Rhinolophus ferrumequinum: one gene and its partner. The protein of the gene in region 2 binds, or shares a complex with, the protein of the main gene of each other region. Links are inferred from orthologs where the notes say so. Each region holds a gene or a part of one and is shown on either strand. Other genes may lie near its edges. The genes, in order: TAX1BP3 and KCNJ4.

What was found.
Region 1: the proteins of KCNJ4 (region 2) and TAX1BP3 are in contact, whole or in part, in a crystal structure (PDB 3GJ9), measured with the Homo sapiens proteins. The link is inferred for Rhinolophus ferrumequinum from reciprocal best matches to the Homo sapiens genes KCNJ4 and TAX1BP3. Residues at the interface, in NP_004972.1 of Homo sapiens: Arg440, Arg441, Glu442, Ser443, Ala444, Ile445; in NP_055419.1 of Homo sapiens: Leu27, Ile28, Leu29, Gly30, Phe31, Ser32, Ile33, Gly34, Gly35, Asp38, Gln39, Gln43, Asn44, Thr58, Arg59, His90, Asp91, Arg94, Leu97, Thr98.

Annotation. Positions count from the first base shown.
Region 1 is NC_046304.1:14,818,092-14,821,990, forward strand, and holds the start of TAX1BP3 (tax1-binding protein 3), read left to right. Parts: upstream 1-1,324; 5' UTR 1,325-1,461; coding exon 1,462-1,500; intron 1,501-3,899. Other genes in the region: EMC6 (ER membrane protein complex subunit 6), read right to left, coding at 506-838. UniProt on the Homo sapiens protein: May regulate a number of protein-protein interactions by competing for PDZ domain binding sites. Binds CTNNB1 and may thereby act as an inhibitor of the Wnt signaling pathway. Competes with LIN7A for KCNJ4 binding, and thereby promotes KCNJ4 internalization.
Region 2 is NC_046293.1:8,669,300-8,673,198, reverse strand, and holds the start of KCNJ4 (inward rectifier potassium channel 4), read right to left. Parts: upstream 2,489-3,899; 5' UTR 2,252-2,488; intron 1-2,251. UniProt on the Homo sapiens protein: Inward rectifier potassium channels are characterized by a greater tendency to allow potassium to flow into the cell rather than out of it.

The DNA of each region.
Region 1 (3,899 bases), on a different chromosome or scaffold from region 2:
TGCCTCCTCTGCAGCCTTAGGTTCACCAATAGGGGACAATAATCACATTGATTCCATTCCGTAAGGATATTGCTAGAATTCAGTGAGTTAATGGGTGTAAAAGGTACAAGGCACAATGCCTGGCTTATAGGGCACACTTAATAAATATGAGCTGTTATTAGTTCTTAGGATGTTAATAAGTCTCTCCGTATTTACGCCCTAGTGCAAATGCAAGGAAATTACAAGGCTCAGTCCCAGCTCTCCAGGAGTCAAAACTTGGCGACTTTGCACCCACGATAGACAGGGGGTATGCGTTAAGGTAGGAAAAAACTCCGTAAAGTGTCTCACGCTTCATTTAATCTGAAGAATATTACAGGCTCTTCGTCTTCAGATATAAGTTACTGATAACGTTACAGAACAAGCAGCGAATTCAACAATTTAAAAACTAAGTAAGTCTACACGTCGTTAATTTCTGGCAACAGTCTTCCCAATCTGTTTTTTTTAAAAAGTCATCCCTGCCCCCATTTCAGTAGACGTGCACCATGCCGTAGAGGAATGTCCAGAACAGGACGTAGGTGAAGAGGCCTCCGACGAGACCTCCTGTAAAGAGAGGTCTTCGTGATTTAAAATATTTGTTCCACCTCCTTCCCGCTTTGAGAATTAAGAGCAGGGAGAGCAGGATGGAGGCAAGCAGGTAGAAGATGAAGCCGTAGAGGCCGGTGAGGCCGAGGATTCCGGCCGTGGCCCCCGACAGCGCTGACACTGAGGTCCGGCAGTAATCCAGGACCGCGGCGTTGCCCCGCACAGCTGCCTCGCTGATGAACGGCGGCCCTTCCCGCTTGGCCACCACAGCGGCCATCGCACCCGCCGGGGCTCAGCTTCTGCTTTCTCGCGGAGCTGCGGAGAAACCTAAGTTACAAGTAGTGCCTGGAGCTTGGAGAGTTAGGTTCACGCCGCCCCTCCCCCTGGGGCTTCCAAATCCTCGCACCACTCCTGGGTCTCGAACCTTCAAAAGACGCTGAGAAGAAGGCTGAGGGCCCGCGCAAGCCCAGGGTGGGTGGGAGCGGCAGCACGCCTGCATTCCCCGCCCAGGCTCGCCCGGTTACCTGGAACACAGCGATGGACACAGTCACTTGGCGTTCCCTCAGACAGACAGGGATGGAGATTCCCGCGGCGCCATCTTGCTCTGGAGGCTGCTGGGAGGGCCCAGGCTGTGCATGCGCCAAGACCTCGCTTCCGCCCTCTAGCGCATGCGCCGCTGGAGCCTCAAGCACGCTCCACCCCTCTGCCCGCTTTACTACGCACGCACAGGGACTTCCGAAAGCCGAACAGCGCTCCAGCGGTTGATTGGCTGGGGATTTGTTAACTATTCATGAGGGGGCGGGTCGAACCGGGCGGCCTTTGTTAACCAGAGGGCGCGGCCGCCGGGATTTTCGCGGAGGGCTTCGCTGAGCGGTATTTGGTTGCCAGATTGGGGTCGCGATGTCCTACATCCCGGGCCAGCCGGTCACTGCCGTGGTGGTGAGTACGCTCGCGCGGGCTCCTCCTCGTCTTGGCTTGCTCCCACTTTGCAGAGCGGTAAACTGACACCCCAAACAGGTTGACAAAGCGTCGAACCGGGGTCTTCTGCAGACCCCGCGGGCAGGGCTCCAGTCCGCGGTACTACCGCGGTCTCCCCAGCCATGCAACAGAAGGCTGGGACCAAGAGCCTCCTGAGACCCTGGACCGAGGCCAGACTCCGTGCACTGCCGCGTTGGACTCTTTTCAGCCAGTCGGGGCGGGGAACACCGAGGAGAAAGGCGCGGTTGTAGGAGTCTGGGAAAACGCCCAGGGCTTTCCTGGGCCTGTGATCCCAGCTGGGCAGCCGCGGGGGGCGGGCGCCGGCCAGGACATCCGTGAGTTGTGGCCTCTGGAATGAGGAAGTGCTTCCTCTACTCCAGTCCGTGCCGCCGCCCTGGGGGAGATTTGAGGAGGGAGATTTGAGGAGGTGGCCGTCGCCAGAGTCGCAGCCCCTTACCCCTCCCCCGTCCAGCCTTTCTTCCTCGGACTCACTCCTCGCCCGGTCCAGAGTGAAGAAGGCTCACAAAGGTGGCTCAGTCTTGCTCGGAACTTTCCCTGTATCCCTAGCCCTTGGGATAAAGTCCAGGTCCCCTGCCTGGCATTTGGGGCCTGAGGTGACCCTTTGGGACCCCTGCCCTCCCCGCCCCGCCCTTGGCTTGTCTTGGGTGTCAGGTGCTATTAGAAGAATCAAAGGGACAAGAGGAAGCTGGGACAGGAGACCCAGACGCCAGTGCCACAGCTGAATGGGGCCTGGAGGCCAGGTCCGCTGTTGGAGGTGGGGAAAGTGAATCCCAGAGAGATCTGGTCTTGGCCAGCCATGTAAAGAAGCCCTCAGGAAGAACCCAGATCTCTAAGAAATGCCTGCTGGGCAGGCAGTGGATCAGGTGGAAGTCCCAGCGGAGGAGTCATGGGACTGGCCGCGTTATCTCGGATGGGTGTGCTGGGAGCTCAAGCAGTCAGCTGGTGGGGTGTGACGCCAGTGATAAGGCTGGCATGTGAGGGTGAGCTTAGCATCCTAGGTCAGGCCTGGGCTAGGCGGAAACATTGCTGGACTTGCTGACAGGTCCTAAGTGTCCCCCTGGCTGCACCAGCCTCACATTTCCACAGCCCTAACTGCCCCAGAGAGAAGGGGCCAGGTTTGCTCCTTAGCTGGATAAAAAGGGGTACAGGTGAGGAGCCAGACAGGGGGCAGTAACCTGCCTGACCTCACCCAACAAGTCAGTGACAGGTGAGTGTCTCCCAGCCCAAGGGCCCAAACTCTTTCTGACCTTAAAGGTGGGTATGTGTTGGAAGAGGTGGAGCAGGCCTGGAGGAGCTCAATGTTTGGGCTTGAAGACCTAGGTCCAGTGGGCCTCGGGCCATGCGTCCTGCCCCCCCCCCCCCCCCCCCGCTTGTGTTATGGCTGGTCCCTGGGCCTTCCTCTAAGCTGTAGGACCATGACCTCCCAACACATGCCTGAACATGGGCGGTGGGTCTGGCCTCTCCCTCGTGTCTTGGACTGGGGAGGAGGTGGGGAAGCCTTATTCCCTGGCCCCCGCCCTCTCCCATGTAGTTAACACCTTGAGAATGTTTTACTATTTTGGCCTCTCTGAACTCTGGCTCCATGGGCCCGTCTGCCTTCTGGATACCTGCCTGGATGGCTCCTGGCACTCAAACTCAACATGGCCTTCTCCTCCAGGGTCTCCATTGGAGAGATGGTTGTGTTCAGCCAGGCCAGGTGGCCAAATGCGGCCATTGACTCCTCTGCCATGAGCAGTCCCCAAGTCTGTTGATTTCACTTTTCAAATAGCTCATGTCCTCATCTCTGCATCCCATCTCTGAGAGAGGTCTTCTCCCCTACTGACTGCCTGAGTGGTCATTCTGACATCAAGCCTGACCATGACCAGCCCTGCTCCCCAACTCCTGAGAGCTCCAGTGGGTCCAGAGTCAAGGTCCGGTGTCCAAAAACCTGGTCACCTCCTCAAGGCCTGGTGTGAATGATCCCTTCTTTGCGAAGCCCCTCAGGTCCAGATCAAGTCACTTTTTGCTTTTTTTCTTCTCGTTAAAACGCTCAACTTTTGGGGTGGGTGATCTGGTCTGGTTCCCAGTATCTGGTGACTGGAACATGCCTGCTGAGGGTTTTGAAAGGAACCTGGCACAGTTGGGGACCAGAGTCCCAGAGCATGGTGGGAGAACCCTGGGACTCTTCTGCCTCCTACACTGCACACGAGCAGGACCTGGGGCTTAGGGAGAAGCCCCCTCCCTGGGGGCCAGTCTCCTGGGCTTGTATTTCATGGCCTGCCTGATCTGGCCCCAGCCTCATACTTTCAGCCTAATCTCACCTCCCAGTTACGGTCCTACGCTGTATACTCGGGTCTCAC
Region 2 (3,899 bases):
ACCCCAGGGGGGCCTGTCCTCCTTCCGCTCCGCCCCCACCTCCTCCCCAGCCCACCTGGCCTTGAGGCCTCCCCTCACTCTGGGAGGCCAGCCTGGCTGCTCCCTGACCCCTCGAGCCCCCCCATACACCAGTCCTGCCCTCCCCCCCATACACCATTCCAGCTCCATTTCCCATTGCCTCTAGTCTCCTGGTTACCATGTTGCTGGTTGTCATGTCGCTTACATGTCCTCGTGACTCAGTGGTCCCCACAGAGGGGCCCCCTCCTCCTCACACCCCCCTCAGCTCTCGCCCCCGCCTCCCCCAGATCCACATTAAGAAGGAGCCCGCCCTGTAAGCCTACACTGTTCCTCCTCCCCTTCCCTCTTAGCCTAAGCTAAGAAATCTTTTCACAGCACCTAGAGTCACTTATTCTCTGCTCCACAAAAGTCTGTTAAGAACCTACTATGCTCCAGGCTTGGGCAAGCTGCTTTCAGGGACCTGGCATAGTCTGCAAATCCCTGAGCAATTCAAGGAAGTCAGTACCATCATCCCATTCTCCAGTCGAAGAAACTGAGGCTCAGAAAGGTCAAGCCAGCTACCCAAGGTCACTTAGCAGAAACACAAGGCCAGCTCTGTCTGTTCCCAGTCACCCCGAGGCTTTTTCTAGATGAGGAACTTCCTTTTCAAGGGTAACCCAAGCATTCCTAACAACTAGCTCCCAAGCCCCAGATCCCCCTTCTAATTCCTGGACACTCCTCTCCTTGGTCAGCCCTCTATTTCAAGCCATATTCTCACCTCCCATTTTACCTTTGCATCATCCCAAAGGTAAAATGAGTCCATACTCCCATCTGCCCAGCACTTTCCCCAGCCTGTGAACAGCCCTCACTCAGCTCCCTTGAGCCTGGGTGGTGGGGGCGGGGGGCACTCGGAGGTCAGTGGGGCGAGGAAGGGTGTCCTTCCCATAGATATGGAAACTGAGTGTCAGGGAGCGAGTGACTCGCCCTGGGTGCTGGATCCTCAGATAGCTAAGCTGATTTCTGGGAGCCCAAATGGAGTATATATGAGGACCACTGCCCAGGGCGGAAAACCCCAGAAAGAGCCCCTCCTCCCCATGGAGAACAGAGTGGAATGTTCTAGGCTCAGCCCTCCAGGCTCCAGTTTGGATGTGGGTCAGCTCAAAGGCCAGTGGCCACGTTGCACTCCAGCCCTTATCCCACTGCTTCCTTCCGCCTTTTGCTCTCCTCATCCTAGGCCAAGCCAGGGTCACAGTGCGGCTCTCGGGCCCCCAACATCGTGGCAACAGCCCCCCAAAATCCCAAAGCTCAGGAGGTCGTGCAACTGGATGTGGGGAGAAGCAGAATAGACATCTTACACACGCACACGCGCGCACACACACGCATGCACACACACGCACGGACACAGGGTCTGGTTCCTCTCTCGGCCTCACCTGTGTGGCCGTTGGCCTCTCTCCCTCAGCTTCCTGTCCCCACAATCCTACTGCTCCTGAGGCCTCAGCTGCCAACTTGGCCAGGCTGCCCAACCTCCAGTCCCTCCACCACACTCCTGTCTGCCATGTCCCTGCACCCTCTCCCCACCCTGAGCCTGGGCACTGGGGCAGAAGTGTGTGCTGATGCTGGTGGGGGGACACTCAGCACGTTGTTGGGGAAGTTTCCCTCCTCCAGGGTTCATCCAGACCTCTCTTTCACTGGGGTTCTCCCCCTCCCCACAGCCTGTGTCTACCACTCTGAGATGACATGCCTTATTTACTGGATCCCTTGTCCCCTTACCCCGGGGTCACCTGGCCCAAAGTAGCTGCTCAAGACGTGAGAAGTGGGAATTTTTAAAACAATTAGTTTCAGGTAGGCAGTGGGATTGTTCTCAGGTGGCAGGGCCATTTGCAAACGGGCTGCAGCTGGGGAGGTGGAAAGGAGAGCCCCTCCCCCTTTTGCCAAGAGTCACCTGCCTTGAAGCTCCTCGGAAACCCAGTGTGACAACCGGGGGTGGGTGGAGATAGGGAAAGGTCGTGGCCGGGGCAGGAGGTCAAGGCCAGTTCCACCCTCCTCTCCCTCCTTCCTGGCATCAACCTAGACCTCGTTTCTCCGGACTGACAGACGGACAGAGCTCGCCAGCTTCTGAGAAGTCGCAGGAACCCGGGTCAGGGATAAGGCGCTGAGCGGGCGGGGCCAAAGCAGCCGGTCCAGGACACACAGACACGCACGCGGCGGGACAGACCGACAGACAGCGCCAGCGGTGGGCGAGGGCCGAGCTTACCGCGGGGCAAAGGTCCGACGAGTGTCCTGGAGGCGGCGAGACGGCACTACATCCCACGGCGCGGTCAGGCGGGCGGCGTCCCCGCGGGAGAGGGGAGTCCGGGCGCTCGCTCCTCGCCAGCCCCCCGGACCGGCCGCGCCCCCCTCCCCGGCTGCCGGTGGGTCTGTCCGTGGGTCTCCGGGTCTCCGCGCCTCCGCGCCGTCCCGCGCCGCTACCCAGCGGCCGTCCAACTTTCAGCACTGCCCGGCGCCGCGCCCTCGGCGCCGCCTGAGCGTCAGCATCGTCGGGCCCCGGGCCCGGGCTCAGAGCGCGGGGCTCCGGCGGCCCATGGCGCTCGCCGCCCGCGCTCGCGCCCCTCGCCTCCGCCGCAGGCGCCTTTCCTCCGCCGCCCCCCCACTGTTCTCTCGCTGTCACTCGGCGCTGTCCCCCGCCCTGAGCTGCGCGCCCTGCCCGGCTGCGCTCGCCTCCGGCCCCGAGCCGCCCCGCGCGGGCTCTGCGGCCACCTTCCCCGCCCCGCTTGCCCTCGGGTCTCTGCCCCTCTCCGGTCTCTGTCTCTCGACTGGTCTCTCCTGCCTCCCTCGCTCTCGCTGTCTCCCCCGCTATGGTCTCTGTCTTCGCCTCGGTCTCCCTCCCAGTCTCTCCTCTGCCTCCCTCAGCCTCTGCCCTATCTCTTCCCTGCGCGTCTCCGTCTCCCGCCCGGTCTGTCCTCTGTCCCTCTCGCCTTTGCCCTCTCGGTGCGGCCCCCACTGTCTGGGACCCAGGCCCCAGCCGCTGCCGCGTCCCCGGCTCGCCCGGGAGCCCGAGCTCCCGACGCCCGCGGCGCGCCGAGAACTCCCAACTCGCCGCACGCCGCCCCGCTTTGCGAGACTTTCGCCCCTCCTCACACGTGACCCGCGGCGCCCCGCTGCGGAGCCCCCCCACCCCGGGAGCCCCCGGCTGCCTGCGGGGCCCGGCCCCGCCCCTTCCCCTCTGCCTAGCCGGACAGCAAACCCATTCCCACCCGCTCGCCTCGCGGGGCAGGGCCAGGGCCTGGGGGCTGCATGGGCCCGCTCCTGCCACAGATCCTGCCAGGGTTTTCCCTCCTACCTCCAGAAGCGCTCCTCCCAGAACCCATTCCAAAAAGCCGCCGCCGGGTTTTCAAGCCCCCCCTTCCCCCCCCCCCCCCCGGGGCAGGTGGAAAGGGTTCCTCGTGCTAGGAAGGCGGTGGGTGGGAGAGGGTCCGTACTGGGTTCTCTGGCGCTGGGCCACTCCCGTGAGCGGTCCCCTTTCCCTCCTGAAGTACCTGCAGTTTAGGACCCTACGCATCCCCGCGGAGGTGGCTCTGCTAGAGGGACCCTCACAATCACTTAGGCAGCACCGCCCCATTTTACAGACCGGGAGCCGGAGAACCAAAGGGTCACAAACTTGCCCAAGGTCACTCAGAGGTGGCATCCGGACCAAACCCCCGTCTCTTGTTCTGTGCGTTCCCATTACTCCAAAGTGTCTTTATTAGGGAGGATGGTGCCCTTCATCTGCAGCCCTAACTGTGCCCCAGGTCTGGGCCCCGCACTCTGGATTGTGGGGAGAAATCTCCAGCACCCCACAGCCTCTGGCGAGCCAGTCACTTCCGTGGCCATTCTGCCACCTCACTCCAACCTTCTGAGGAAAC